Linked DNA regions of Alligator mississippiensis. The protein of the gene in region 1 binds, or shares a complex with, the protein of each later gene. Links are inferred from orthologs where the notes say so. Each region holds a gene or a part of one and is shown on either strand. Other genes may lie near its edges. The genes, in order: ZBTB8OS and FAM98B.

Region 1 (16,324 bases):
GCACACACAAAAAAAAAAAATCAATTCTTAGGAAAATACACACCACACCAGCAGCAGATCACACAACACTATCAGTTTAGGATTTACCTTAAGTCCCAGACGTTTAGCCTACGGTCAGTACCACTGGAAGCCAAAATGGTTTCATTGTGGGGAGACCACTGCACCTGCAAGAAACAAATGAGAAAAAGAGGTGAATCTTAAAGCAGTGACATGAGACAAAAAATAATAGGATCTCTGTCCTAACTGTAGAGAAAATATACTTGCAATTTGATACTGGAAAACTCATTAGTTCACATATTCCCATTGAAAATGCTTCAGAGGGAGAAACTGGTTTATGAACACTGCTGACTTTGGGTTTCAAAGCATTAATGATGTACAACATGAAATCTTTTCATGTAGGATGCTTGAAGAACAGGTCCAAATCTTCCAAGAACACTACTTGCTATGACATCTACAATGGTGAGTTATCCAAATGCAAACCATTCATTCCTTTGAAACAGGAAGCTAACTTACATGGAGCAAAATAAGCTGAACAGGGGAAAGACAAAGGAATCCCACAATTCTGCTTATCCCAGTTAAAAATAGTTACTACCTCCACTCAGAAAGAACACTCCTAGGAACACTGCTCAACAGAGCAGAAAGATTCAGGGGGGGAAAAAAAAAAAAATCTAGGGCTCTGAATACAATTCTGCCAATACTTTGTAGAAATAGTGTGAAACAGCTCTAAAAATAACCCTCTCTAAAAAGAATGTAAACTATTGCCTTATTTAGAAAGTCCTACATGTTCTTTCAAATCACATTTGTGCTACTCTGATAACACTCATTTGCCAGCTCTTCTTGTACCAAAACTTGCTTAGTTTTTTATTAAGAGATGTCTACTTTCACAATTGTTCCTTGTGTCTAGCTAGCCTGGAAGACCCATACTATTGGTCCCCAGTTTGTATTCTATGCAGCTATAAGTCTTCCTCCAGGAGATGAAGATGCTACAGGCATCTCAGCAAGTTCCCTGCTCCCATTTACTGCCATATATAATTTGGCTGATTGTTTTCACTTCTAGGTACAGCCACTGAAGTGGTCTTTCATCTGTCCTGTTCCATTCACTCCATCAGTTTTATAAGCAACCTTATGTGTTTGGTAGCTTTCCCATAGCCAAGGATGTCTTCAGACACAGAACAGCTAAAGAACATGGCATACTTGCATTAAATGTTGAGTAACAAGGAAAAGAAAGAAAAATAAAAGGCTATTTCTAAGTTTTTCAAGTTGCTGACAAACCTGCAGCTCTGACTGGGAAAGAAATGAAGATATTTATAAAGATGCCAGTTTACTGTACCTGAAATATTTCATCTTTGTGCGATTCAAACGAGTGGAGCTTCAGTTTCAGGTTTCTCAGATCCCATAAAGCAACAGTCTGTTCAGGAAGAGAAGAGAGAAATTCAAGAAACACTTTCATCAAAGTTAACTAATATATGCTTTCCAAAGTGGAAACAGGTTTGGGACAGATGACAGTCCCTAATCTCAAGTCAGGCCTACCTTATCAGCTGATCCTGTGGCCAAAATAAACTCGCTATAGGGATTGAAAGACAGGCAGTTCACTTCAGCCGTGTGAGCATCTACTGAATGACTGGGCTTGGAGGTATTGTTTGACCGGGTGTCCCAGCTAGAGAGAGAGAGAAAACATGCAATTGGAGGAGGGAAGTTTCTTTCATTTCAAAACAGAAACATTCCTGGGTAATGCTCTCACTTACATCATGAGCTTCTGATCATCAGCAACAGATCCAAAGAGAGATTCATGGAGCAGGTGCCAAGATACATCTTCCACTACTGCTGTATGTCCAGTAAAGATGGTCTTTGCATCCACCACTTTGCCTTCCTTTGGAACAGCACTAATATCCCACAAGCAGATGGTCTTAGAGAAAAGGGGTATCTTTAAGATAGATGAACTCTTCACCCCCCCCCGGCCGCAATAGCCCACCCCCCAAGTGTAATAGTTGATCAAGCTCTGCAACTAACGTACAGCTGACATACCAATTTTATTTGCTGTACTCACATGATCATCAGAAGCACTAAGCAAATGTCCACTGAGATTTGGGTTCCATGACAGCCCATAGCCTTCCTTCTGGTGTCCACGAAGACGCAAGTCAGGGTTACACTCACCAGAAGGGTCTGCAAAGAGAGTTTCAGTAAACTTAGGTTCCAAACAACTCTGCCGGTGTAAGTGCTTGACAAAAAACGTAGATTTGACTTCCTCCAGTAACAGAACCATCCCACTGAGAGACATGAGAGTTTACAAGATTAAACAAAATGCTACTGATGATGGTTTTCAAATGCTTAATACAGACACTAGCTCACCCACTGAATATTTCAGTAATACTAAGGGGCTCAGTTCCACTTGCTACACGTTATATAAGCAAAACAATTCTTACTATCTTCAATCTTTGTCAAAAACTAGGTGATGAAAACACCACCTTGGTCACTACTTTAAGAATTCTCCTTAATTGCACAAAGATATATTCGTCATTTTTAGATATATTTCTACATTTGGGTTCCAGTCTCACTTTGAAACTTGGAGACTATCTTATGTTCACACCCCACCAAAGACTAAGCCAGGTCCCTGAAGGTTTTTTCTAGTTATTTTACAACAAAAAAGGGACAGCGGTTTAGCCAGCAAACAGATGAAATAGCTCTCCGCTGGCTAGTGAGCCTCTTCCACCATTGCAAAGAAAGTAGCATTGCAGTGCTACAATAAATGAGCAACAGCAAATGGAGACCATCACAGGATATTCAACTTTAAAAAAATAGATAATAAGCAGAGCTACAGCAGAACATGCAGTGAGAAGGCCAATGGAAGTGTGTGTTTTAAAGATCTGTAAATGTATTTCCCTTTTTAAGCACCTTGGAAAGCGACCATTTTATTCTAAAATTAAAAATGACACGTAACCCACAAAAGCCCTTCAACTGCCACAGAACAGTGTCAGCCTTTCCCCCCCCCCCGAAAAGACTCTGAGTTCCTGTTCAAACTGTATTTGAGGTTCTGTGCCCAATCTTCAAGTTACATAGATACAGACACCTGGTTTAGAAGGGTGCTTGGTGTAGTCAAAGACCAGGACATCGCTGGATGGAGTCTTTGTAGCAATGATACATGGATTTTGGGGCATGTAACGTGCTCTGTTCACTTCTCCTTCATGGTTGATCTTGATTTCAATCTCAATCTTCCCACTAACAGAGCCAAAGCCTCCAAACTCTGGAAATAAAGGATAGATGTATGTTAATGGTGAGCTGTACATATCGTTCAAATCATACAAAGGATTCAGCAAAGCCAAAGAAGTATCCACACAGTCACAGAGCAAAGAGTCTATTGACAAGGCATAAAGAAAAATAAAAAGCCAAGCAAAACTGATTTTCAAGGTTTTAATTTTAATACGAGTTGCAGTTACTACGTGAGCCCTGCTGGTTTTTAACACATTTCCAGATCACACTTAAGAGCTCATTACTGAAAAGTTTGATGACTATTTCTGATAAAAAGCTAATGACAGATGTTTTACCAATAAAAGGCTCCCTTGGGGCTATCAAACTTGCACCTATCTGTCTGCAAACAGCTGTATGCTGACTGACATGTGGTTAAAACCATGTTAAACCACGCATCATGTTCCTATTAAGGTCTGGGGCTGCAATAGCCTACATATGCAGAGATATACACTCCAGTCTTCAGCCTACCCTCATGACTCCAAAAGGAAGATCTAGAACCTTGTACAATTTGACAGGCAAATCCATCTAAGAAAGAAAACATGAACTGCCACCATTGTTTAAGCAGACAAAGGAAGTGAGAACTGTCAGAGTAACAGAATCTCTACCCTCTCTTCCATAGTGTGGAGGTCAGTTTACCAATTCTAAAACTGGGATTCACAGCATTAAAAAAAAAAAATGGGAGAGAAATATAATGAAACTGCAGTGGAATCTGGTCCATAAACACAGGAGCTGACTCTTTCAGAAAAATTCTTAAATCCATAACTTTTTGCCTAAAGTCTCCAAAAGAGAATTCACAGTAAAGTGCCAAGACTCCCTTTAGTGATGGGCATACTTCAAGAAATCTTAATAAAAAGTTTACATCCCCTGTAAGACAGAGTCTGAAAAAAATGCTTTGCCAAAAGCTTAGGAGCCAGAAAAATTATAGCTGATCAAGTATTTAAAAAGATAAAAACTATTAGTTTTAAACACGAGAAAACTGAGGTAGAAAGACAGCATTGCTCAAGGCCACAGCACTATCCCTCATTGTCAAGAGCACCTGGCTTCCAATCTGCTATTCAATTCAAAAGAGCAAACTGCCTTGTACGGAAAAATAAAGTAGCCGTAAAGCCGTTATAAAAAAAGAAAAAATCAGATAAGTGACTGAAATTCCTCAACAGATTTGCCGAAGCTATATTTAACATTTGTATTGTGAATTGGAGAGCAAGTATTTGTCAGCACCTGCACCGAGAGAGACCCCAACTTACACACTTTGTACAGGAATCTCTCTCTCTATCACACACACACACTTTTAATCATATACAACCAAGTCAAAACTAAACCTATTTTCAGGATCACAAGCAGATTTCAGGAAATAAACAGAATAAAAGGAAAAGATATCTACAGCCTTATGATCGCAAGTAATATTGCAAAACTTTTTAATATACTATACTTTAATACTCACTCTGAAAAAACAAAAAGGAATTGAAGACAACAACAAAAGAAAAGAAGTAGTGGTACTAAAATTTGATATTTCTGGGAAACAGAAATCCTGAAATGAAGTATTTTAGACAGAATCTTGTTTACAAGCAGTACTAGCAAGTCCAACAATCAAGGTATCAATTGCACAACCTTGGCTCCTGGCAAACAAGGAAATGAGACAACTGAACTGGAAAAGTTGTATAACGTGGAAGAAATCATTAACCCAACTAGAATAAGATATGGCTAATAGGTAGGAATGCTGGCTGCCTAGGAAGGTTACTGATATATTTGGTTTGGATCCCATGGTATTATGGCATTTAACTGAGCAAAATACAATCATCCTTTTATTCTGGAGGGGCTGGCACGTCTACCAGTCAGCAGAATTCAAGCTAAAAAGAACACTTGAAATTGTACACCCTCTAAGGAATGGCAGAAAGCCTCTTTTATCAAATTATGAAAGCTACCATCATAAAGAATACTTTATGCAGTCACAATGAGAAATAATTAAAATAATTTCTATTGCACAATCTTCCAATAAGTTCTACCCCTCTCCTCTTCAAAATGTTATAAAAGCAAAAAGTAAGTTTAATTCAGCATGGCATATGGAAGATTAGAGTACAGTGCACAGATCCAAGAAGAAAGGAGGAAAAGTTGTAACCTCTCCTGATCACTTCATAGGATAAAAGTTCCATATTACTTAATGATCTATTAACTCCAAATGAAAAAAGCCATTATGTCCAGTGGGAAAAAAAAGTTTGGAACTCCACTTGCTGATCATCCGAGACTCTTACCTCCTTTCTCGCTATCATAATGTGAAGCATCAAACTGTGCATCGTCATTGGGCAGCTGCACGCTGGCTATCACAAGATGATTTTGCTCGTCTGAAGTATGTGTCCCCAGGACTAGCCGGTGAATACTGAAATCTTTGCCTTCGGGTCTACAACAAAATAGGATTACAGGAGGGGAAATGAAAGGGAGTTAATTAGATATAGTTGGCTCACAGGAACAAACCTGGACCTGGAAATTAAACCTCCAAAAATAAATAAATAAAATAAAAATTATAATATATCTTTTAGCGCTGACCATGCCCTCTTACTCCAATATCAAATCTTCCAAACAAAATCACCGCAGTCCAACCCTAGACGGACAGCAGATACCTATTTCCTTGCTGCTATCCCAAACAAAATCACCGCAGTCCAACCCTAGACGGATAGCAGATACCTATTTCCTTGCTGCTATCCCAAACAAAATCACCCCTGTCCAACCTTAGACAGATAGCAGCAAGGAAATCTGTATCTGACATCCCCACAATACAAGCTCTCTTCTCCCCGCAGGACTCTCCCACTAGTACTCCCGTGAGTAACGCCTTGAGGCATATTAGCATTTTCTGCAAGTGACAGGTGGAAAAATACATTGTGTCAGGGACCCGGGGAAAGAACAGTTGTGCTGCACAGCAGAAGGGTTTTGAACAATACCTAAATGCTGCGTACGTTCATTTTGCAACTTCATCAATGGAGGGTAAAGAAGAAAACATCACTTAGTTACAGGTTGAACACAGCCTGAAACATTTGCTGCCAGTCAGCAGCTATTTCTGAATCAAAGAGGCACCAGGCAGCAGGCAGCAGAGGTGCTGCCTGGTGCCAGCACAACAGTCCTCAACCTACTGTGGCCAAAGAGCTGATCACAGCCGGCAGCAACCCACTCCCTCCCATACGTGACAGCGAAAGCGTCCTTCAGTCCCATTTACACCAACAACCAGGAGGCTCGACTCACCTGGTTACATCAGGAAGCCACTGGGCAGTCAAGCTGGGCCACTCGAGCGCGTGGGTCATCACCAGGTCGTAGAGGAAGGGCGTGTTCTTCTTCCAGATCTTGTACTCCTCGTTGATCACCCGCTCCTCCACCGCATCGTCGAAGGCTGCTGCACGTCGCCAAGGGGAGGAAAAAAGAACGTGTTCATTTCAACGGCGGGTCCGGCTAGCACCCTACCCGTGCGGCCCCGTCGCTTTGCCGTAGCTGCCAAACAAACCCACCCACTGCCAGGGTGCACCTTCCCACCCGCCCGCCCGCCCTCCGTGGCCCTCACGGGCCCATTACCAAGGGCCCCCCCCACCGCGCACAGACCTGGGGAAGCATTTCAGTCCCCCCCAAGAACCAGAATTGGGGGCTTTGCTGTGCAGATGAAGGGCCAATGATATCAAATATGCAAATTAAAGGAAAATTATGCAACACATGCTAATTAAAGGGGGGGGGAAATGCCTCTTTGAAGGCTCCCACGGAGGAGCCGGACAGGAAGAGAAGGGAGGCCCAAGGGCTGCTTGCTCCGGCAGGGCTGGGGAGGTCCCACTCCCGGCCGCGGCGCCAGGCCCTGCTCCCGGCCGCACGTACCTTCCTTGTCCGCCATGTTGGGGTGCGGGGCGCGGGCTGCCGGCTCGGTGCAGCCGCCGCTCTATTGTTTCCGACCCCCTCTGCGTGCCACTCCGGCGCCGCGCGCCCTTCGCGCCAACGCCCGCCAATCACCGCCCGCGGCCGGGCGCCCGCCGCCAATAGGAGCCCGGCGGGCGCTTGACAGGGCGGGCCTAAGGAGGCGGCGGGCTTGCTGTACGGTCACGTGGGAGGGGCCGGCGCTGGTGAAGCTCCCATGGGAGCCGCCATTTTCTGACGGAGGGGCAGCATGGCGGGCCGCCTTAAAGGGCCAGCGGCCCCTCATGCCCTTGCTGGGGCTCAAGCCTCATTGACCCTGTTTCTCAAGGCTGCTGCGGGAGGGGCAGAAAAGCAAGCAGCCTAGGGCTTGCCTGCCAGTCGCTGCAACCTGTGATCAGACAGGATTGAGGATCTTGAATAAAGCAATATTTATTAGCCTATATAGCAATATTGATCTCGAATAAAGCAATATTTATTTGCCCCCCTTTTTGTTTCGTTCTAGGTTTGAAGGACAAAATTCAGTTTTTGCCTGAATCTGCTTCCTACGTGGGGGTTTGTTTCTTTTTTCCCCTCTGATTTTCCCCCAAAGAGTCCGATCAGCGCTGGAGATCGTAAGAGTTTTGTACAAGAGCGTCCTGTGTAGGAGACATTATGGTCGGCCTTTGCTGACTATTAGGGATCCTGGTTTTCTCTGGATATCCCCAATTTTCAGTTAAAGTAATCCCAGATCCATGTTTTTCCATGATTAAGATTAAACATCACTAGTATTTACCTATATATTAATGAGGTTTCATTTAAAAAATCCACATTTTTTTGTGATTTAACTGAAAAATGGGGATTTAAAAAAAAAATTTTTTTTAATCGGAGAAAACCGGGATCGCTGCTGATTAGCCTCTGGCCTCGCTCTTCACTGCAGCAGGAAAGACGCTGATTATTTCCAACTGGAGTCAGTATTTTGCAGCGGTGTGAGAATAAAGCAGACCACGCAGGGGCTCCGAAGGAGGACGCTGGAGAACACCTACCCGATATCATCACCGTATCACAGAACATGAGAGCTGGAGGGACCTCGGGAGGTCACATCTAGTCCAACCCCTGCTCCGAGCAGGACCAGCCCCAACTACATCATCCCAGTGAAGGCTTTGCCAAGCTGGGTTTTGAAAACCTCCAAGGATGGAGACTGCACCATCTGTCTAGGTGACCCGCTCCAGTGCTTCATCACCATCACCCTCCCAGTGAGAGAGTATTTCCTAATATCCAACCTAAACCACCCTTGCTGCAACGTCAGACCGCTGCTCCTTGGCCACCACTGAGAACAGGACTACACTTTTCTTACAAATTGTATTCTTTACTCCCATCTTTAAAAAAACAGAGTAACTGATGGTATTTATTTAGTCTTAGATTTAAAAAATAAATAAATACCAGCTTTTCCTTCTACTGGAATTAACTCTAGAAACCATCTCATCGTTTCCCCCCTTTCGCTTTCATTCATAGCGCTCGGCCCCTGGTGGAAGCCTCAAACAGTCTAAATCGCCAGTGTTTTCCTTTTCTTTTGCTATTTTCCTTCTTCTTGAGCAGCAGCAGCATGCTTGAGGCTGCGCAAAATTAATCAAGTTAAACCAAAGGACAGCCTGGCACTAGCTCAAGGTGTAAGCTATTTGTGGTGCGGATCCTGAAAATGAAGCTTAACTTTAGGCACATTGAGAACTTCTTTCAGCTTCATTGACTCACTGCCTAGTACGTTTTTGCAGGCTAAAAAATACCCTTGCAAAGGATTTTGTGGCTGGAGAATTCAGGGGTGCACATTTCAAACCTCACTTATTTTCAGTGCCACTTGGTGTCCTCATTGCTCTCCAGTCGAGCAGGGAGCTCTGCCTTTAAAGGGTAGGATCACATGGTGAGTCTGGGCTGGATCAGGCGAAGAGGGGCTGTCTGAATAAAGCAGGAAGCAGGTGCTGCAAGGCTGACAGTGATGGCTGATAATTTCCGGGATTACAACCTGAACCAGGAGCAGAAGGCTATCAAAGCCAAGTACCCTCCACTCAATAAGAAGTATGAGTGTGAGTATCCCCATGGCATGTCTGTGGCTGGGAGGGGAGGTATAGACCTAAGCACGTGTAAAACTTGTGCTTCACACTGTGCCCTGGGATCTTGTCTCTAAGTGGGTAGGGGAGGCTTATTGATGCGTCTTGATATGTTATCTTAACGGAGATCATTTAGCTTTGTGCGATGGGTCCTAAAGAAGTCCCTGTGTGTTCAGCACCTCCAGGCAGGTTGCCATAACTAGTTAGTGACTCCTGACTTTGCAACTGGAAGTTTATTTTGAAAGCCTGAAAAGAGAAGGAAGCAAATCTTGCTGGGTGAAATGAAAAGTGGTATTATCACTCAAAACTGACTTGCAGTAGGGGGTAATGATGATACCATACTAAGAAAATATAATATTCATTGGAGAAACTATAATCCAAGAGCTGGTTAATTATGCAAATCACATCTGCCACCACTGATTTATTAGCCAGTCAGCTCAGAACAAAGTACCAATGCTTATTTTGTTTTAAAACTTAAGTATAATGCCTTAGTGTGGAGCTGTTATAAGGAGGGAGGTATGGTAGGGTCTGATCCTGTGCGTTACTGAGTCCCCTCAACTCCTGCTGGTTGAAGGGCAGACAACAAGTGCTCAGCACTGCAGCTCCCGGTATTATGCATCTTAGTGGCACAACTGTATCTGGCAGTAATTCTGCAGAATACTGGTTTCCACTGACACTGCACAGCTTGTTCCCATAAGCATGCAACTCATTTTGAATTAATGCCTGGTTTTCATATCCAGTTTAACCCCAGTAACACAAGTTGGATGGGTTTTAGGGTATTCTACCAATATTAGGGATACAGTGTAAAGCCAGGCCTATTACACCATCTGTTCTTTTATCCCCACAAGGGAAGTCAGATCAAAAGTTCCTTGAGAAACAAAATTTCTGTGAGCTGCTCCATAAAACAGATTATCTAAAATGCTTTTCTGGCATTTTAAGTGAACATTGATGTGAGACTGATTACAATATGGGGGGCAGGGGGAAGGTTACCAACTTCAAGGAGAAGAAAATTGAAACAAGAGTTTTGGGTTCAAATTCTGTCTTTAAGTTTCTTCCATGTGGCCTGTATAGTTTGGGAAAGCTCTATAACATTTTCATCTATTGAAGGATGGTATGAAATGCATATATATTGGGGGTACTTTTTGTGGAAACAAGGTGATGGGTTTATTATGGAGGGGTTGTTTTTCTTGGTGGCTTTCTTTTAAAACCTATTATGGTACCTACTATGTGCTGCTATCATATTGATCCTTTTATAGCATATTTAGCTAAAGGTCAGATTAACATTATTAATATGAGGTCAGATGTGTCAAAACATGCACAAAATATTCTCATGATAAAAACAGGACCTGAATTTTCTTGCAAGTAGTCATGCGTTGTTTTTCTAAACAACTTTGACAATTCCATAACTCTTTCTTTTTTTCTCCTAATCCTTCAGATCTGGATCACACGGCTGATGTTCAGTGAGTATTTACAGCTGGAATTTGAGTAGAATTTCTCTATAAGCCTGATTCTCTTCAATACTTGTCAATCAGGAGTAACTGACAAAATCTAATGTGACAAGAGAATAGGGTGCAAATATATCCCTTTTGGGCCTGTGGATGCCACATTTAAAGATGCTGTATTTGTTTCATAATTCTGCTGCCTCTTATTTCCAAATGTTCCATGTACATATGTTCCAACAGTACCTGTTTAGATATCCATGGTTTTTAGTAAAATACTCAATATTTTTCCATGTTGTTCCTCCAAAAGAAACTCCATTGTCTTTCAGTGTTTCAGCACTTACCATAGACAAGTCTCCCTGCTTAAAGGCACTGTGTTTGCTGCTTTTCCTACTCGTATTTCTATGGTACTCCAATTCCTTACTTGTATTTTCTCGTCTTTCTTTGTCGCTGCTGTATGATGGTGTAACTCTTACGTCTCTGTAGGTTACATGCCTGGGGAGATACTTTGGAAGAAGCTTTTGAGCAGTGTGCTATGGCCATGTTTGGCTACATAACAGATACAGAGACTGTGGAGCCCTTGGATACTGTAGAAGTGCAGACAGAAGGTAAGAAGGCACTGTGCAAACTTTGAAAGAGAATACTGTTGAAATTAACTTTGCCTTTCAGTCAGAAATAGCTGGCTTATTGCATGTAGTATTGGCACAGGTTTATTAAACTAACTTATTCTTTCCAAATCTGAATATGCAAGTACATAATAAGCAGGAAAACTGAACTTCTGCCCTGATGTACACAAAAAGGAAGTTTGCAAAATTCTGAACAGGGCACCCAACTGAGTTTCTTTTGCTGTTTCTGTCCTACAGGACATGACATGCTGTCTCTTCTTTATAACTTCTTGAATGAGTGGCTGTATACATTCAGCGCTGACCAGTTCTTCATACCCAGGGTATGTATTTTTTTCCCAGCATATGGGGCAGGCATATTCACTGCCAACGCTTGCCCCAAATTTATTATTCTTGGGGCAAAAACATTGGAACCAACAGGTCTGCTTAGGCCTACCAATGCATAGGAAATTGTGGGTACAAGCATGAGTTGAAGGAGGAGTAAACTCTCAATTTTGTTGTTTTCAAACCCGTTATGGCTTTGGTTATGTTGTAATTGCAGTTCTCTGCACATCTAAACATCAGCGTATCTCTGAGGCTGATTGAACTCTTCTTGTGTCTCTAATGATGGCAATATGAATATTTAACTTTGCATGGGAATAGTACAGGGAGTCGTCATATGGCATAAAACTATATGAGAAATGCTCTTTGTGGCCATTTTTTCCTGTTACTTTCTCTGCAGGAGGTGAAAGTGCTCTCCATTGACCGAATGAGTTTCAAAATAAGATCCATTGGGTGAGTAAGCAGAACATTCTGGTTAAAAGCAAAACTCAAATGTGTGCACACAAATTTAAAAGCAATATAGCTTACTTAGGGGAACAGCCAAGTTTGAAGTTGACTCTTCCACCGGCGCCCACTTTAAACCTAGGCAAGTTATAATATCTGCTTGTTATCCTCATATAAATGTTAGTATCTACCACAGAAGCTGTCATGTGGAAGGTAGGGTACAATGACACCTTAAAAAGTAACTGGTTCAGAGAGGTGTGAGCTCTTGTAGACAACAATCTACTTTATCAGATGCTATGAAAGGGCTGATAGAGGAAAAAAAGCTATCATGGAGAAAAATCATTTCATGTTTGCAAAATCAAGATGTAAATATTATCTATCCCAATACATTTCAACCAGTCACTTTCAAAAACCTGGAAGCAGATAGGAAACAAAATTAATAATCCCAGGATTTCCAAGTTACTTATGAAAAGCAAATTAGTGTCTCTTCAATTTTTTTTTTCTACGTCTCTGAGGCCTTGTATGGTCTATGATTTGAAGAAGTGATGTTGAATTCATTTAGTTAGCTCACTTTTTAAATAGTTTGCTAAGGAGCCTAGATGATGGGACACAGGGCTTAACATTTAAAAAGCATGTTGCAAATACTAAGTATCTTTGCCAGAAATGGTTTAACTCCTTGTGGGAGTGGCTATCCCCACACTATATTAAGTCCCCATTTTGAATGGACAACTGATGACAATTACTATGATGGGCTAAAGCTGTGTGGCATTTACCATGAAGTGCTTGGAGACTTCCTGTTTCCTTCTCCAGTACTTAAAGCTGGAATTCCAGGTCTTTATGTGTACTAATGAAGCCAATAGTAGTATTTGCTGAATTAAACCAAAATTTCAACAGTTTCTTTTCTTTTCTCTTCTCACATAAGGTGGGGGGAAGAGTTCTCTCTACCCAAACATCCTCAGGTATGTACCAAATGACTTTTATGATTTACATTTTCAGGTAAAATATGGGCTTTTCTCTTTTAACTAGACCACTAAGTTTATTCGGAGATCCAATTTTAAACTTTTCTGCTTGTACAACTCTGTTACCTCTGATACCAAAGCCCTTGTTTGCTAGCTGCTGTTTGTGAATGGGACTATTAGTCAACAATGTTAGGAATACCATCTGTATGATTACTCAAGCAGTGGCTGAAATGGGTCACAATTTTGGCTCTTTTTTCTGACACCAGTGACATGCCAGTTCAGTCCCAACACGGGATGTTTTCATGAGTTTGGTTTGTGTGCAGTAGAACTAGTCATTGGGCTGTGAGTCTTATCGAAAATTAGTAATAAACTAATATAATTTGTTTTATTACATTCCACTCCTACTTTCCCACCCTCCCCTTTTTGCTAACAGTCTGTGATGGTTGCTTTAACCCAAGAGAAGCAAATTATAGTGGTCTTCGTTAGCTAGGAGAGAGGTTTGATGCCCTGCTGCAGTGAGTGGTAGTGAAGAACGGAGAAACTACTTGTTTTGCTGTTGGGCAGCTCTGGTGTCTAGGTGAGCGATTGCTTGGTGATGTCCCATTCTTTGTACTCATCAGAACAAATATAGTACAGCCATGCTTCAGGGAGAAGGATTCTCTAACTTGCCATGCCCAGGGAGCCAAAAAATAGTGTGTGTGTGCATTCATGTGGAGTGGCTATTAGGGCTTATGACTTACAAAATCCATCTTTCTGTGCTTGTTTCATCCAGGGTACTGAAGTCAAGGCAATAACTTACTCTGCAATGCAGATCCATGAAGACCAAAAGCCAGAAGTTTTTGTCATCATTGATATCTAAAAAAGAAGAAAATGCTGCTGAAATGCCTGGAAAAATCATTCTTAGCCAGCAAAGGTCCCACAAACTCTGCTACCTCCACAGAAATAACTAAACGATTGGCTAAAATTGCTGAATTGTACTGTTAATGTTATTTTACTGAATGAGTCAGGGGAATTAAGAAATATTCAGATGTGTCTTGACTTTGAGGAACGGCAGACGAGTCTGGGAATTGGATGTCTAGACAAGAAACTAGTTTTAAGAAGCTTGCACATCTCAAACTTGCAAGAGCAGCATAAGGAGTTAAAATTTCTCACTAGCACTGCTGTTGTGCATTGATTTTTAAATTGGCATTGGTACTGTGTCCTGGTGAACATGGGTGATCAGTAAGAAATTAATTACTTCTTATCTTTATTAGTCAAAATATTATCTTGTTGCAAGCTGGCAGAAGACAGAGAAAATTTGATGTACACATTTTCTTTGCCTTTATTCTGAAGGACCTACCTCTCGTTGTGCTTCATTGGTGCGCATTTTAATTTACTCAGGCTGAGGTGACATTGTTCTTTTGCATTATTTAATGCCTTTAAGATCTCTGCCACTTGAGGTCTTTTTACGAAAATTATAAGTGCATTGCAATGATTTTAAAGCAGCAAACGCCTTCAAAAATATCTGAATGATATTAGAAAAGATGCCACCAGGTGGTGCTAAATCTCCATATAGTGCTAACTGATAGTCTGACCTAATAAAGCAGTATCCATGTGACTGGAGTATTAATTATTCCTTTCATTCTTCCAAAAAAGTGAAGGCTGGATTTCACTGCTGGTGTAGAAAGGCATCTACCAAAATCATCTGCAGTTTCAGGACAATAGTCTCTTGCAATAAAAAGGAAAATTCTGTTCTGTTTTAATGTATACAAGTCTATGTAAATTGGCTGCTTTAGTCTTCTCCTTTAGAAAGCGTAATAACAACCTCCGGAGCAGCATAGGAGGCTACACATGATGTTTACATAGTACTTTTTTTTTTCACTGGATTACACAGCACACACTTCTTAGACCCTGGTGTGCAATTGCTGAGGAAAGTTCCCTTGCCTTTCCTTAAATACTTGAACTTTCCTCTACTGGCACTTCCACTATCCACTCACTCCTGGAATAAAAAAAAAAAAAGAAGTGTGTCCCCTACCCAGCCCCTCCAAACTAATATTCACTGGCTATCCCTTATTTGAAATCATTTAAAAAAAAATGGAGACACGGCACTCTAGTTCCACTGTGCACTAAACTATTCATATGATGATGTCTCCTTGCTGGTTTGCACCAAACATTGTAAGTGCTTTGTCTCCACTTTGGATTTTTCAGTTGGTTATTTTTGCTTCCCCTGTCCCCAGTAATGAGAAGACAAATCCTTTGTTTTCAGGTTTGGTGTTGGGTGGGATAGGCAAAAACCGAGGGAGACGAACAAACAAGTCTCTTCTAAGGAAAAACAAAATTGCAACTGAAAATCTGCATTTCTAAGGAATTGTTTGTGAATGTGTGACTAGTTTTTGGAGAGCGGATGTTTTGGATGAGTAAAGTTGCATGTTTCTTTTCAAAGCAGTGTACAGATGTATTGTGAGGGGCTGTCGCTGTTCTCATTACTGTTCCACGCAGGGCAATGAATATCCCTTGAAATGGTAATTTAAGATCATATTTGTAAAAGGAAGGTACTTTAAGGAGAAGGAATGACCTGCCAAATAGTCCCAGAAAGGAGTGAGTACGGTTTGGGGGTTTCCAACCTGTGTCAGCATTGCATGCCTGAAATCCAGCCCAAGTGTCTGAAGAAGCAAGTCTATCCTACACTGAGTAGTCATGCTCGATCATCCTTCATTTTTATTTTTCAGAAAGCAACAGAGTGAGGAAAGAGCAGGTTCATTTAAGTAGCTTATTTTAACATCTTCCCCTTTTTATGGTACCCTCTGTTTGATTTTTGCTGAAACCAGTTACTTCTGTCCAACTCTATTCTGAAGGTCCAGCCGGTCTAGTCGAATCTTGGCGCCACTCTAGCAGCAGGTTGTGTTTTAGGGATCGAGTTCAAAGTGCTGCCTTACGGGTGGTCAGTGGGAAGGGGTTGCAAATGGGCTTACCGCCCAGTGCATTCGTCCCACAAGCAACGCATCCTCTGTGTTGCCTTCCGTCTCGGAGATGGGAGAGGCTACTTAAACTGGGGAGGGCAGGGAAAAGATTGGCTGGGTTTGGTGTGGGAAGGAGCGTATGTGGCCGACACGGTTGGGAGTTGTGCTCTTCCCACAGGAGTGTAGTGCTACCCTCACAACGGGTAGGAGGCTCTGAGGAGATGAAAGGAGCCCAGGCAGGCCCCGCCCACTGGAGCCAGAGGGGCTGAGAGGGGTTCTATTGGGCCGCGTGGCTGTCACTCAGGCCATTGGCGGGAAAGCGGTTCCCTCAGCTAACATCCCATTGGCTGACGGAGTCAGGTGACTGTTCAGACCAATGGTGCCTCGAGT
Region 2 (15,506 bases), on another chromosome or scaffold:
AAAACACTTGGTCTAATCTTCATAGAGCCTTCAGTAACCACCTTTATCACACAGACATAATTTTCAGCTGTCACAATGAGTAGAGAGATGTATCATAGTGCTTACGGTTGGAAGGGACCTAAACAGATCATCAGGTCCATTCCCCTCCCCCCGGGCAGGAAGGGGTGCCGGGGTCATATCACCCCAGCCAAATATCTGTCCCAGCCTCCTCCTGAAGACCCCCAAGGTAGGAGAGAGCACCAACTCACTTGGGAGCCCATTCCAGAGCCTGACAGCCCTAACTGTAAAGTAATGTCTCCTGATGTCCAGCCTGAACCTTCTCTCTAACAATTTGTGGCCATTATTCCTAGTAACCCCAGGTGGTGCCTGGGGGAACAGAGCCTCCCCCAATTCCTGCTGGCCCCCCTTGGTGAGGTAGTAAACGGCCACCAGATCCCCTCTGTCTTCTCTTGTGGAAGCTGAATACATTCACGCCCTTTAGCCTCTCTTTGTATGGCCTGCCCTGCTGCCCCTTGACCACGCAGGTGGCCCTCCTCTGGGCCCTCTCAATGCTAGCCACATCCCTCTTGAAGTGCGGCACCCAGAACTGGATGCAATACTCCAACTGTGGCCTGACCAGCACCCCATAGAGGGGAAGGATCACCTCCCTGGACCTGCTTGTGATGCATCTGAAGATGCATGACAAGGTGCAGTTAGCCTTACTGACCGCTCCTCACATTGGCAGCTCATGTTCATCCTGGAGTTAACAATGACTCCAAGATCCCTTTCTGCCACCATGTTGACAAGAAGGGTGTTCCCCAGCCTGTAGGTGTGTTGCTGGTTCCTTCTCCCTAGATGCAGCACCTTGCATTTGTCTACACTGAATTCCATCCTATTCTCATCCACCCACCTCTGTAATTTGTCTAGATCTAGCTGGATTCTGTCCCTCCCCTCCAGTGTACCCACCTCGTCCCACAACTTGGTGTCGTCAGCGAATTTGGACAGCGTGCTTTCCACACCCACATCCAGATCGCTGATAAAGATGTTGAACAGTACAGGCCCCAGGACCGAGCCCTGGGGGACTCCACTGCCCATATCCCTCCAGGTCAAAAACGACCCATCCACCACCACTCTCTGGGTGTGACCATCTAATCAATTTGCCACCCATGTAGATAGCCATGTTAGTCTAAAGTCAAGTACAAGGCATGGTAGATTTGGACCTTTTAGGCTAAGCAGTGTGTGTGTGTGTGTGTGTGTGTGTGTGTGTGTGTGTGTGTGTGTGTGTGCGCGCGCGTAGAACAAGCTTTTGTTGGCTGATGCTCACTTCACAACCCTTCTACTTTACTGTCTTATTTGACTTCTACTTGACTAACATGAGTCTGTAAGGTGCAAACCTACCTATCTCAGGTACAAAAAAGTGCCTTTCCTTTGTAATGCTGCTAGCAGAACAATCAAAAGCTAAGGGGGAGGTGTAGTTGCCAAGGACATTAGTGGTCCCAACAATTAAGAACATATCTTGCTGAAATATTTTCAGGCCCCCAGTCCTAGCCCTATTGAAGTAAATGGCAAAATACTTATTAAACTGTGCACTATTTACCTTAGCTCCATGAGCCAATAATCTCACAGAGCTAGATTGTCTCACAGGTACAACTCTGTGAGTGTGTCTACATGAGATGCTTTACTGCACAGTAGACTAATCTTCTGTAAAGTGTCAGCTTCTACACATGCGCACCATTTACTGTGCAGTAAATTAGTTTCCTGTGCAGTTAGTTACTATCTGTAAATACAGATAGTAAACTAAGTGCACCGTAGGTACTGCTCAGTAGTGCATGTGTAGATGCTGACCAGGAACAAATTTGCTCCCAGTCAACCCCAACACTAGAGGGCCACAGGGGATGGGGAACGCCCCCCGTCCTGGCACTACTCAGCTCCAAGCTCCTGCCAGAAGCTGGAAGCCAAGCAGTGCCTGGATGGGGTAGCTCCCTGCCCCACTTCCTCTCCCAGTGCTGCTCAGCTCGCCACAGGACTTGGGAGCTCCCAGCTTCCCTGTGTAGCCCAGGGCTGGCCTTTCTGGGAAAGCTCCCAGCCAGCTCTGGGCTGTGCAGGGATTTCCCCAAGCAGCCTGGGGCTGGCTGGGAACTGTCCCGTCAATGTAGGCATGTTCCCAGAGAAGGCTTACTGCCCAGTATTTCACTAGGCAGTAAGCCTTTGTAGCATTAATAGCATGTATAGATGTGCCCTGTATTGAGAATAGTAGAGAGTCATACCAGCTTAGGACGGGAAAGTACTGAAAGGGTTGCACTCCGTAGCTGGAATATATAACTCACCTTGTGCAGCTGGTCCTGTGTAGAGATAGCTTTGCTTTACTCTGACTTTGCCTCACTGTCCTTGGAGAACCATCTGCTCCTGAGGAAGTAATCTTGAAGCAGTGCCTGTACTCCCTTTCCAGAAACTACAATTCTAACCATAGAATGTGAGAAAGGTATTATTCCTTCTCCTCAACTACATACTCACAAGGGCTAGACAAATTGTAGCCAGGAGTAATACACTATTATAACTTTTAAAGCAAGTTAAATTCATATGATTCCTGCCTGCTGTTTTACAATTAAGGCTGCCTTCCTTGGAGACTTTATGAAGTACATAAATAAAAGTTCTCCCCACCAGATCACCCTCACACACTTCACCAGTACTCCTTTTTGCCAAGACTAAATGGCTAAAATAAATGTGGAGTTTCTAAACCCAGAACTTCTTGGAGATATAACGAAGTTAATAAAATGTCCCCGATAAAAAAGCCTTTCATTTTGACCTATCATATCTCCCATGTACCTTGTCACAAAGTTTTCAAAATAGTTCTTTCCTGATTGAAATCTATATGCAACAAGGTCAGGTGGATTGGAGTTTGGGGAGACAGAATCTAAATCAAATGCTTATAATGGGAGGCAAGCTTCAATGATAGAAAGCAGATATTTGAAACATTTACACCAGTAAAAATTTCATTATTTTGAATGGTAATGTAAGTTACCCTCATGTCTTCAGGGACACCCAGCCAGCTGTCAGGAGGTAGCTGCCTAAAATGGACACCATTTCAGCACCTCACAGTTAAACTGCAGGGAGCTAATAATATCCTATTTGCATTGTGCAAATGGCTGTCCTAAGATGAAATTAAATTGAACTGCAGACACACATCATGTGTACCAGTGTATAGTCACACCTGACTATCCCAGCAGTATCTTTACTTTAGAGTAGTGGCTTCCACTGGTGTTGATTTGTACATCATGTCTATCCCATCTTTACACTGATATAAAGACAGATTTTTCTACTGTAAATGTACCTTGTGTGTGCACCTTCAATTAAGTAGCACTAGCTACTTAATGCACAGGATTCTTAACCCGTGTAAATTGCTATATTCTGTTTTAGTTAGTGAAACTCTAATTTGCATCTAATTATTTTGAATGTGTGGACTGGACACAAAATTGTACCAGTTTAACTGTTATTGTAAACTGATTTAGGGTACATACAGTTGTTTGGAGAGATCAGAGGAAGGGTAGATCACTTTAAAAATGGCCACCCAATCTAATGTAATTTGCCCTGATGTGGACCTTACACTTAGATCCCTAGTTAGGTCAATCTAAGTGCAAACTGTATGGAAGATCAGGAAGGTTAGGTCCATCTAAAAATGACCAACCTGATCTAAGTTAACTGTACCTAGGAGGTAATTTAATTTGATTGGGTCCAGTGAGATCAATCTAACTGAACTTCTGTACAGTCCCCCGTGCAGTCATAGGGCTGGGAAAGCCCAGCTGCTGGCCCCAGGTATAGGGCTGTGCTTTTCCTAACCCCCTACTGCCCTGGCACTGAGCTATTTTTAGCACCCCCTTCTCCCCCCCGCCCCCCTGCCCAAACCCCATGCTCCACTCCCAGATGGATAACCCGTCTCACAGACCAGCCACCACCCCCACCCCCCACCACCTGCCAAACCCCCTATCCTGCAAGCTGCTCCCAGTGCCATTTTACTGGCTTTCACTGGTGCTGGGAGCCAAGGAAGTAAGTTGGGATGTTGGCAAGACTGGGAGGTTGGTTAGCTGGGAGGGTTGTTTGTCTGGGGGTGGGGGTGTTGGGAGGCTAAAAATAACCCGTGGTTCTGGGGGGGGTGGGGGGGATCTCCCGCATCCCTCCCCAAGCCTCACCACAGACCCTGCTGGTCACTCTGACCCACCAATCCCCCTAGGGACCCTGTTAGCCTCCCCAATCCCACCAGCCCCCCATGGACCTCGCTAGCTGCCTCTGATCTCCCCCCATCCCCCATCTCAACATACTTAGATTGGGTGGCCATTTTTAAGTTGATCCAACTTCCCCCTAACCTTCCTGAATCTCTGTCCATACCCTTAGTTAAACTAGTGTTATTTTGCGTGGACATCCCAATCAATTTTGAATGAATGTAAGTGTGCTAACTATGGGCTTAGCATTGGGTTTAACTACATCAGTTTTTAAACTATATTAAGTTACGTATGTGCAACCTTTGTTTGTAGACAAGTTTAAAGATCAGCGTGCAAGGTTTTCCCAACAGCTCAAAGAATAGCTATTTGTCTACAGATAGAAGTTGAACCATTTGCATTTAAACAATTTAAATTAAATCAAATAACACCCTCTGAAAACACTCCTATTTTGGCTTAGGAATACTTTATTTCATTTTAGCTTAAACCTGTCCTTAATCAATTTAAACTAAATCAATATAAGTTACTTATATTGATTGAAAAGTGTCCACATAGTATTTTGCATTGATTTAATTCAATCAATTTTAAATTACACATTTATTTAAGCAAGTACACATTTGCATATAGACAAGCTCTCAGTGTTAGACAAAAAAATTGTTAGTACTTTGAATATTTTATTCCCCTTTCTTCTCTGCTTCTATGGTCCCCTCTAGTGGTTGTTTTCTATGAAATGCATCTTTATACTGCATATTATTGAAATGAAAATATACAGGAAGAGGCATGTAGATTTGTTTGTGCTCTGCATTGAAATAGCTGTTGTGGAATCTGCTTCTCATCTCTTTACATTCGATCTGTTTTTTCACCATGTTGTATATTATAAAGGAGAAAATTAATGGATTTTATGAAACTTACGCTTACTGTGTCTCTACACATTTTTATTTTTATCATGAAGAGCCTGAATACTGCTTTTCCAAGAGTAATTCCTTCTAACCACTTACCATAAAATGTATATCATGAACAGCGCTAGTTACATAGATTTAACATGCTTCTGTTTATTAACAGAAATATACATAATACCTTTGAAGACCTGGATTTGAGTATCTCAGAGAAGAATAGGTGAAGAGAGAATAGACATTTCCTCTACACTACTGCTTACTCTACTCCATAAAATCTTGTCTGTTGTATTTTAATATATTATTATACTCCTATGTGATATAACGTTTTCCTCTCTGTAGATATATATAATAAAAGTAAAGAGAAAAGGTAAGTTATGACACTTTCTTCTATGATTTGATGGCCGGTGCTTTGAAGCCTGGCTAATGCTTGTAAAGGAGACCTAGATACCTATTCTTAAAATCCAAGGTACGTTATTTTTTTAGTTCTAACGGGCCAATTGCGAGGGAATTTTTCAAACAAGAGGAAGAGAAGAAGGGGCACCAAAAGGAGGAACGGCTGAAAAAGAGAAAGAAAACCACCCATTTTACATGAAAGCATTTAATCTCAGCTACTGCAGACCAACCAGCCTAACTGTTCTTCTGAATCCTAGAATAACACTGTCTAAGCCAGTGCTTTCCAAACTTTTCCTCAGCATGACCCCATTTGCTCAACTTGGCCCCTCACTCCCAACTCACCCCCCCCACCCTCCTCAAGCGTCCCTCACTCCCAGTCCACAGCCCCCAACTCCTCGTAGGTTCCCCAGGCCCAGGTCCCACAGCCCCCCACCCTCCGCCTCCTGCCCTCCCATCCCAGCAGTACCCAAGTGGGTGGGACCTGGTGCAAGAGAGAGCACTGAGCTACAACCCCATCTACTGATGGTGTGACCCCATTTGGGGTCATGACCCAGAGTTTGGGAACCACTGCTCTAAGCATGCAGCACCTTATAATATGCAATGATAAAATCCTGAAAGTGGACAATCATCTGCTTGCATTAACCACAAATTGGAGACAATTTCTTTGTACCCTCAGTAGTTAGTATCTTTGAATGCTGAATGTAACATTTGAATATATGAAGTCCCAAAGTTATGATGATGAATGCAAACTATACTAAGGTTGCAAAGTTCAGCACTCAGAAGTTATGAAATATCAGAATTAATGTGACTGATATGACCCTAGTTAGATTATTTACATATATGTATGTGTAGTAGTATGAATCAATATTAATAGAAATGTGTGGTAAAATCAGGCATAATAGGAAGTGCCTGAGGCCTCATAAAGACACACACAGGCTGACCACAGGCAGACTGCATCAGCCAACTGGGGCTGCCTTATGCACCGCTTCCATTTGTCACCAGGCAGACTATTAGTGCATGCTCATGTACAAATAATTTGGGAGAATACTTCCAGGTTTTTTCTCCTGCAACTTCTGTGGCAGGTCCATGGCTCACGGATCGGACTCTTAAGTAAGGCGACTGCCTTTTCAAAATGAAATGGTGGGACACATGCCCACCTTCCCACCCCCCGACAGTGGCACAGCCAGAACAGAACCGAGTGGGGTGGGGGCAGATGTGGACTACCCGCTATGGGCTCCCCACCCTGCTGCCCTCCCCTGGGAGCCCCATGCTGGCTGTGTGCTCCCTGCCTGTCTGGCAGCAGCAGGGAGCACAGCTCCTCACTGCTGCCCCCACTGCTACCGGGCATGAAGTGGGTGCATGGCCAGCGCAGGACTCCCAGGGCAGGGAGCCCCGATGCTGCAGCGGACAGTCTGCATCCGCCCCTGCCCCACGCACAAATCTGGCAGGGGGGCATGTGCCCCTCCCTACCCTCACCAGGGGGTGCTGCAATAGCAGGGAGCCGCCCCCCTTCTCCCCCACACCCGTTGGATGAACCACCCATGGCTCCCATCATGCTCCCCACCCCGGGCCGTGGGCCCATGCACTGCCCCAGCTAGGCAGCACTCCCAGTCCTTCCTTCCCCAACATGGAAAGGTTCAACCTGGCCCTCTCCCTAACTTACCTGCTGGAAGCTGCTCTCCATGGTGCCCAGCTGTATTCCCCGCCACACGCATGTATGTGGGCGTGCACATGCACATGGAGCCCCATGTGTCTGCTCCCAGCTGCAAACTGGAGCGCAGGGGCCTGCAAATCTGGGACAGATGCTGCCCTGGAGTCGTGCAGCCCCTGGACCTGATGGTCCCGTCCTGGGCCTGTCCCGCCCAAGCAGGGACTGGTGGTCACCGCCACGCACCTGTGCTGTGCTGTGCTGTGCTGTGCTGTGCTGTGCTGGAGAGAGCGTCATAGAAAAGTGGGGCTGGGAGGGACCTCCAGGGGTCATCTAGTCCGGCGTGTCTCCACTTGTGGGCTGCACCCGGGAAGCGGGGTGCAAGAACGTAGGCAAAGGTCGTGAGCAAACTTTGAAAGTGAATTCTTCTTTAAAGGGGAAAAAAAGTGGGAAATGTGGCTGTTCCCTTGGCGGCTGGCAGCCTGCCAGGGGCTGCTCGGGGCCCGCGAGGGCGGGGGCGGGGGCGGCGAAGGCGGGCCGGGCCGCGGCCGTTTACAGGCGGGAACGCGCGGCGAGGGCGGCGGTTGCAGCCGGGCTCGTGAGAGCGGGACACCGCGGGGCGGGCGCCGCGGCAGCATGAAGGAGCTGGAGCCGGCGCTGCGGATGGAGGGAGACATCCTGGACACGCTGGAGGCGCTGGGGTGAGGCGGCGGCGGCTGGGGCCCGCGAGGGGAGCGGGCAGGGGCGCCGTGCCGCGTTGGGCCGGGCCCTCCTCTTCTCTCCTGTCCCCTCCCCTCCCCTCCCCGAGCGGCGCCTGGGCCCCGCGTGCGCCCGCAGACTCCGCCTCGGCCCGGGAAGTGGTCGCGGGGCAGGGGGAGCAGGAACCGGCGTCCCCTGCAGCCCCGTGGCGGGAGCAGGGATGCTGCGGGGCAGGGGCAGAGGCAGGGCGGGCCGCCCTCCCCTTCCAGCCCCGCTTCCTGTGCTGCTCGGCCTGGCTGGCGCGGGCTTGGCCGGCGCCGTCCTCGCCGCGCCTTTTGCCCCACCAGCCTCCGCCCCCAAGAAACCCTGCCTTTCCCCATGGGGGACTCGGCCAGCCGGGCGGCTGCAGTGACACCGGCCTGTTTTTCCGCCCTCGATGCAACCCTAGCTTCCTCACAGTCACTTCCTTAGCTCCTTCATTTAGAAATAAAAGTGTACACTTTTATTTATGTGTGTATAAATACAAATAAAGAGCCAAGTTTTTCACATCCCCCAAGCATAGACCTTCAGAGCAATACCGCAAATCGTGAGAGTTGGCAACGATCGTGGGGATCTCCTTCTTGGGAGCAAGCTACCGAGGCTGGCGGCCGATTTCCACGCAACTCTCTTCTGGTGCAGTGACTGTCATTGGTCCCGCACACATGTACAAAGAAAATGCGGGGTAGGCAGTGCTCTCAGCCGGCCTTTCTCGCATACTTCAATTCATGGTTGGAGTTTACCGTCCTCATGGATTTGAATGCATTTGGATAGTGAAAACTGGCCCTTGTGTCTGCCTCAAAGGTAGCGAGAGGTTAGCTGTGTCAGTGTGAAGGCAGGCAGGAGGCAGGGTAGAAATGCACTTCATAGGCCAGTGGTTGTCAACCATTTTAGACCCAAGGCAGCCCTCGGAAATGCCAGCTCTTAGTTCTCTTTTTTTCCGACTACAGAAAAATAATCAAGCAAACTTTAGGAGGTAATTTAAAAAAAATAAATCTTCCAGTAGGTTTTGAAATTGAGGGTGTATTAAATGAAACTGGACATGCCAAACATTGCAGCCTAGTGTCCCTGCAATGCGTGAATTTGGAAAGGTGAAATTAAGCGTTGTTAGTTTGGGGTTTACTTGCTGCTGATCTAAGATGAAACAGTAAGCGGTTTTGCTTACGTGGTTTTTGAAAATTGAGTGCCCCTGTAAACTGTGCCCTGATGCCTAGTGTATTCAATGTAGCCTGAAATGCTACAGGGTAAATAGAACGATTGAGTGATTTGTCTTATTTGTGGTAGATGAACATGTACGTCTCCCACTTTGTGATGCATTCCAATAATGCACCATCATTCTCCTAATGCTAAATATTTCTTAAATGGTTTAAAGCAGTATAAAAATCCATGTGTAATAGTAGATATTTTATTAATACTCTTCATTTTTTCCCTCCCCGTCCAGGTACAAAGGTCCTCTACTAGAGGAGGAAGCACTGAACAAAGCAGTAGAAAATGGATTGTCTTCACCAGAATTTTTTGAACTGTGCATTTGGTTAAGCTCCCAGATAAAACCTCTCTGTGACCTGGAAGAAAGTATCACATCAGCAGGTGGTATTTGCACAGACTTTGGACTGCATATTATTTTAATTCGTTGGTATTTGCCTAAGCGTTGATTTTTTTTTTTCCTAGTCATTTACTCTTAAAGTATAAATTATGATCTTGTTTCAAGAAACAATTTTGAAACTTAGCAGTAAAATAGCTATAATCTAGATAAGCAAGAGGTTGAAGCTCATTTGTGCATGTATGGAAGTGTTCTATTTCAACTTAACTGAATTTTTTTTTTTTAAATTGACAATATAATTATTTTAAAGTAATCTTAATGTAAAAAGGGCATAATGTAAAATTAGCATACTACCTACAAATATTTGTAAACTTTCTGTTTCCTCAGTGAGATATTTTAAATAAATACACAGCATTTAGTTATTTTTCTTACATAATTTAAATACTCTACAGTGATTCATTTTTAGTGATATAAAATATTCACATGGCAGTGATATTTTTATTTGAAAGTGGAAAATGGACTATCTGTTTTTGTTACATGCTAGCTCCTAGTTCATTTCAACTAGGTGGACTCCTTCCTTAATAGATCAGTGTAACATTTTTCTTGGGAATAAAAAAAAAGTGTTTTGCAAGATTCATTTTTGAAAAAAAATGTTTGTGCAAGATTTTCTTCAAGATCATGGAAAGTGATGTTGATTAATAGGTCATAAATGTCTTTCGCCATCAATCAATATCTCACATATAAACTTTTGTATTAAGGGCAATAGGTTGTAATTTGTGTTTGAAAAGCCCACTAACTTTCCAATTACTTTGTTTTCTATTTTCTTAAGGTGAGAAAGATGTGGAAAGCTTCCAGCTTGAGATTAGCGGTTTTTTAAAAGAAATGGCTTGCCCATATTCAGTACTTGTTTCTGGAGATGTTAAAGACAGATTACAAAAGAAAGAAGATTGTCTTAAACTCCTATGTAAGTTCTGATAATTCCCATTAAGAATTGGTATCTTTTATGTACTGTATATGTCTTAATTTTTAAAAAAACATGCTCTGGCCCCTCATAGTTATTAGGGCTGATCAGAGTGCATAAACTAGTCCCACAGTTTGAGTATTATAGGAACGAAACCTGAAATTTCTTTCAAATGAGTGGTCCTGCATCAGTTTGGGTAGGGTATTAAAACTGCAAGCAAGGACCTGCCTCTCTAGTGAATTTAATGACTTCTCTACTGGTTCCCAGACAGCATGAGGTAAGAAGTCAACTGATTTGAGGGCAAGGACCAGGGCTATCCCTAAGGGTATGAATTAGGGCAACCACCCTTGGCCCTGTGCTTTGGGGGCCCCCACGGAGCAGGGCAGAGCAGCAGCAGTGTATAGCTGGGCAGAGCCACTTACTACTCCCCTCGCCACTGATGGCGGTGGCAGCTTCTTCGGGTCCGGGGCCATGGGATCAGGATGGCGGTGGCAGCTTTTTCGGGTCTGGGGCCATGGGATCGGAGTGAGGGTGGGGCCCTGCATGGGCTGATTTGTCCCAGGCCCCGCACCCTGCTCAGGTCAGCTCTATCAGAGATGACAATAGTTGGATTGAGGGGGTGGAAATAGTATCTTGGACATGAGGTTAGTGAGACAGGGGCTGAAGCTGGGTTACCAAGCCTGGGACTTTGGAAATGGAAGCACTGAGGGAAATCTTGATGGGACAGAAGGATTAGAAGTAACAAAGACTGAGATTAGGTGAGAAGCTGATAGGACTAGGAATGTGCAGAAAAGCATAGATAGTAGTGTGAAGAGAGCCAAATCTGGCAAGGAACCAGGGGATGGAGAAACAACTGGAACTGAGTAGAAAGAATAGACAAGAAGTCAAAGAAAGAGACTTAAAGAGTGTAATGGATATAATAATTGTACTGCTATTGAAGGATATAGCTGTTATGTTTGCATGATTGTTGTGTAAAGTGTGTAGTACAGTCAGCTTTTTTTTTTTTTTTTTTGGTTTTTTTGGGGGGTTTTTTTGGTTTGTTTTTTTTTTACAAGTGGGCCAGATCGTAAGATCAAAAATGTGCTGAGTGCTCATAAAATAGCATAGTTGGAAGTCTGCATGTGTAGTGAGCTTCCCCGAGCTCACCAGTTGGAGCTGTGGAGTGGAGGGGGTGAATGTCCCTGCCACTGAGGTAGCAGGGGAAAAGAGACAAATGGTGGCGGTATTCACTCCCTGGGCTCTGAGCAGAACCCATGCTGACATGCTATGAGCTCAGAGAACTCAATATGCATGCAGCTAGATGATAGGTTGTTCTTATGGTTTTGTGGACCACAGCCTGAGCACCATTGGTGTAGAAGAACTTGAGCTTTAACTCTTCTTCTTCCAGGGTCAGAGTTGGGTGATATAGCTAGCTTGTATTGCTACTGGCTTTTACGCACATAATAGGTACATCACAGCTGCTATGTGCTTCCAAGCAACAACAGCTCCTCCTCCTCTTTTGAAGCATCTACAAATGTATATCTGTTCGTATAGCTGAAGGAGTTGAGACTGAGGGCAGATACTGCTTTAGATAAGGAGCAATATTAGTCACACACAAGAGAATTTTGCAGGAGAAAACAAGTAGGCACCAGAAATGAGTAACATCCAGTTGTATGCTTCTATAACTTTTTTTTTAATGTTTGAAATTTGTCCTTAAGTTGACAGAGTTCTGTCTAATCCCTTTCTATTTTCTTATAGTTTTATTTATTTTGTATTTTATTAATTTGTGTTTTATTTTCTGTGAGAATGCAGGCACAAAGTTATTCAAGCTTTCTTAAAGATCCTATTATGGCACTTTTTTCTCTAGTATTTCTAAGTACGGAGCTTCAAGCTTTAAAGATACTGCACAACAAACAACTTAAAGGTTCTCACTTGGAAAAGCATAATGAAATCTATCACGAAGTGGAAGCTATCTCTGATTCACTGGGCCTATCAAAGTCATCATCTTCTGACATGCCTCTTTTATTGAGCAATGTAGAATCAAAGGTACAGAACTTTTAATTTTCTTTCTGTAATTTTCTATAATTCAGATATTCTTACACTATATATCTTACTGTCTAATTAAGTCAAATGTTAAGTATCAAAGGTTTCTCCAACTAACACAGAAGTTAATTCTAGTTTTGAAAACTATTTTAATCATGTCTAAATTGCATACCTTTAGCCAATTTTGGTTATCAAGTGAAAAATCTTTGCTATCTTTTGAAAAATGTGGTTTCTGATGAGGTATATTTTGCTATCTGTAGAATGTAGGACCACGTGGGGAAGTCTACTATTTTACCAAATGCCTCCTAAAATAAGATGGGGTTTTTGCTTTTATTTACCTGAATCAGCAGTGATCCAAATATGTATTTAATTTGAATGTTTGATCACACCAATCTTCCACAGTTTCTTCTTGGATTATAAATACTGCCTAAACCTTTAAGGGCATAGCTATGGGGCTGCCTTACTTGGAGTACACACTTACCCAAACTCAAAATAAATTGTGCTTATTGATTGCACTGCACTAAGGTTTTTGCATTTTATTAAGGCTTCTTTCTAGGAGTGCCTTATGCTTCAATAGCAGCCATAAAACTGACAGAATCAAGTTGGTTGAGGGCTGTTTTAGAAGCTGTGTAATTTACAGTCCGGTTGTTTCATCAGTTTTGCACTTATACAGAGCACAGTTACTAAAGAGATAACAGGTCTCAGAATTTAAATGGTTCTGGCACTTAACTAATATGCAGATAACCGACATTTGTTACCATGAAAACAGCTGGACTGTTATCCATTTAAGTGAATTAGGTGTTTATCCAGTAGGATATTCTGTACTTAACATTATAGTAATTTAATGTTAAACAGTTCTGTGGGTTGTCACCTCAGAGCCCTGACTAACCCAAGTTACCCAACAACTTAAACCTCATTCAACAAGACAGTGTTTAAAACTATCGTCTACTAGGTTCAACCTGCTTGTTTAATTTGGTTCCATATTGACTACTTTGCTGTAAAATACTCTTCATACTCTAAAATAACCTTTAGGGTTTTTTTATAGCTCTTAAGATATTTAGAAGTTATAAATGTTAGATATTTGTAGGGGGAGGAGGGGTTACCATCATTTATAGTTCTAGTACTTAAAGATCATGTTTAGGATTGTTGACACATTCTTGTGCTGTGTGCAGACATGTATGTGAGCACTTCTCCAAAGCTGCTCAGTTTTCAGTGAAACAGATGAATGTGAAACCTTTTCTTTTTCTGCCTAAGTTTGTAATATAGTTTAGATTACTATAAAATGCTTACCAGTTAATGTCAGCTGTCTAAATAATCTGTCAGAAGAACAAACACTGAGACTAAGAAGTTATTTTGGGTGTTTTGATTTGTGTGCTCAACTGGACATTTTTGAAAGACTTTTTTGTTTTCCAGAAGGTGGATGCTAAGCACTTTTTGTAAACCAGGCTCTTTAAGATGTCCCCACTTCGGTACCCAAAGCTTGAGATGCCCAACATTAACTATGTTGGTTGGCACAATGGATGTTCTAGATATTCACTCTCTTGTATCTTAGAGAGTAATCAAGACTAAGGAACTTAAATTTGTTTTTTATAAACTAAAACTCTAAGACTCCAGTGAAAACAAATTGTAGTTGGATCCTTTCATGGTCCCCAAACATCTCAGAATCTGTGTTTCTAAAAGGCAGCACTAATACCTGGGGGTTTTGTTTCTTCTTTTATACCGAGTGTTTTCTATTGCTGCAGCCCTTCTCTGACAGCATGAATTGAGGCTGTAGTGACCCAGTTTTTTGCTAATGGGCACCAGTTTGAATGGAAGATTATTCAGCTTGATGAGTTTGTTATTTTGGATCTAGGAAACAGACCTCAGACCTATACGATGAGGCATTCAATAATATAACCATTTCAGAAGTCAACCAGATCCCTGAGTCTCCCACACTAAAACATTCCCTCAGCTATCTTACTCTTCTTTCTGTAGGGATGTGGCTGCTCAACAAGCTGGATGATATAAATAATCAAAATTTATACTAATTTATTGAACTCTTTTGAGATGATATGACACAAGTAGCCTGGTAGACTGCTAATTCATCTTATTTGCCATTTCTTTAGTTATTGCGTTTTCCTGACCATTTCTTAAGATTTAAAGATGGGTGTCTTCAAGTGAAACAGCAGACCTCTCTTAATGCAAAATCAGAAGGAAATGAAAATACCTGCATAGTCTTATTGCTAAATCATGTTGCCACAGGGATGGGAGCCAGCCAAAACTTTTAAATTGGATATATTTTAATTGTGTGTTTCTAACTCAATTTCAGTGTAATGTTTAATATGCTACCTGTGTGTGGCACTAGGTGTGTGTACATAGAGAATGGCAACACTGTATTACATGCAACAATGAAAACTTCAACAAAAATATTAAAAGACCACTTCCCTGACTATAGGCAACTAAGTGTCTCTGTTTCCTATGATTTTTTTATAGCACTGGGATCTGTTGGTTTTACTGTAACACCAAGTTTCCAGTTGCATTTCATTTCATAGCAAGTTTTTATATCCCTTGGCTAGCTAGTTTAATTTCTAGCAAGCCGGTGGTCCCCCAGCATAGATTTTTTTCAAAGGCATTGGTGTTGGCCTGATTCTTTAGCAGTTGATTGGAAGCAACTTAGGCAATAAGTAAATTTTAAAATGTTGTTGTTTTTAAGATCTTGTAGATAGAATGTGTTCTTAAAAAAACAAACAAACCTTACACTTTAATTTTTATTTTATTTTTTAAATGTGTCATAACTGAGTGGCCTCTATGGCCACGTCCACACGGACAGGGGTCTGTTTGCAGCAGCACAAATTTGTGCTGCTACTTTGTGCCACAGTCTGTGCCCTTTGCAGTGGGACACATTGTCCCTCTACTCCATGTGCTTCAGAGGGGGCTGGCTGGGCGCAGGGTGCCTCAGTGCAGTGCTAGCTGTTAGGCAGCCCCTGTACTGAGGCACCCTGTGCCCCAGGCAGCCAAGGAGCGGCAGTGGAGACGGGGGAGCTGGCGGCCCAAGGCTGAATGCTCCCCCATCTCCACACACTGTGGAGCCCCCATGTTGAGGCACCCTGTGCCCCAGCCAGCCAGCTCTGAGCTACCT

What was found.
Region 2: ZBTB8OS (region 1) and FAM98B share a complex: the UniProt entries of both Homo sapiens proteins name them as parts of the tRNA-splicing ligase complex. The link is inferred for Alligator mississippiensis from reciprocal best matches to the Homo sapiens genes ZBTB8OS and FAM98B.

The regions. Positions count from the first base shown.
Region 1 is NC_081829.1:5,386,143-5,402,466, forward strand, and holds ZBTB8OS (protein archease), read left to right. Parts: upstream 1-9,043; 5' UTR 9,044-9,097; coding exon 9,098-9,185; intron 9,186-10,644; coding exon 10,645-10,669; intron 10,670-11,134; coding exon 11,135-11,256; intron 11,257-11,511; coding exon 11,512-11,594; intron 11,595-11,992; coding exon 11,993-12,045; intron 12,046-12,958; coding exon 12,959-12,995; intron 12,996-13,767; coding exon 13,768-13,854; 3' UTR 13,855-14,592; downstream 14,593-16,324. Other genes in the region: histone-binding protein RBBP4, read right to left, coding at 88-164, 1,331-1,408, 1,531-1,657, 1,746-1,924, 2,048-2,163, 3,068-3,241, 5,496-5,641, 6,478-6,625 and 1 more. UniProt on the Homo sapiens protein: Component of the tRNA-splicing ligase complex required to facilitate the enzymatic turnover of catalytic subunit RTCB. Together with DDX1, acts by facilitating the guanylylation of RTCB, a key intermediate step in tRNA ligation.
Region 2 is NC_081825.1:245,051,039-245,066,544, reverse strand, and holds the start of FAM98B (protein FAM98B), read left to right. Parts: upstream 1-7,681; 5' UTR 7,682-7,766; coding exon 7,767-7,831; intron 7,832-9,306; coding exon 9,307-9,452; intron 9,453-10,234; coding exon 10,235-10,369; intron 10,370-12,212; coding exon 12,213-12,391; intron 12,392-15,506. UniProt on the Homo sapiens protein: Positively stimulates PRMT1-induced protein arginine dimethylated arginine methylation.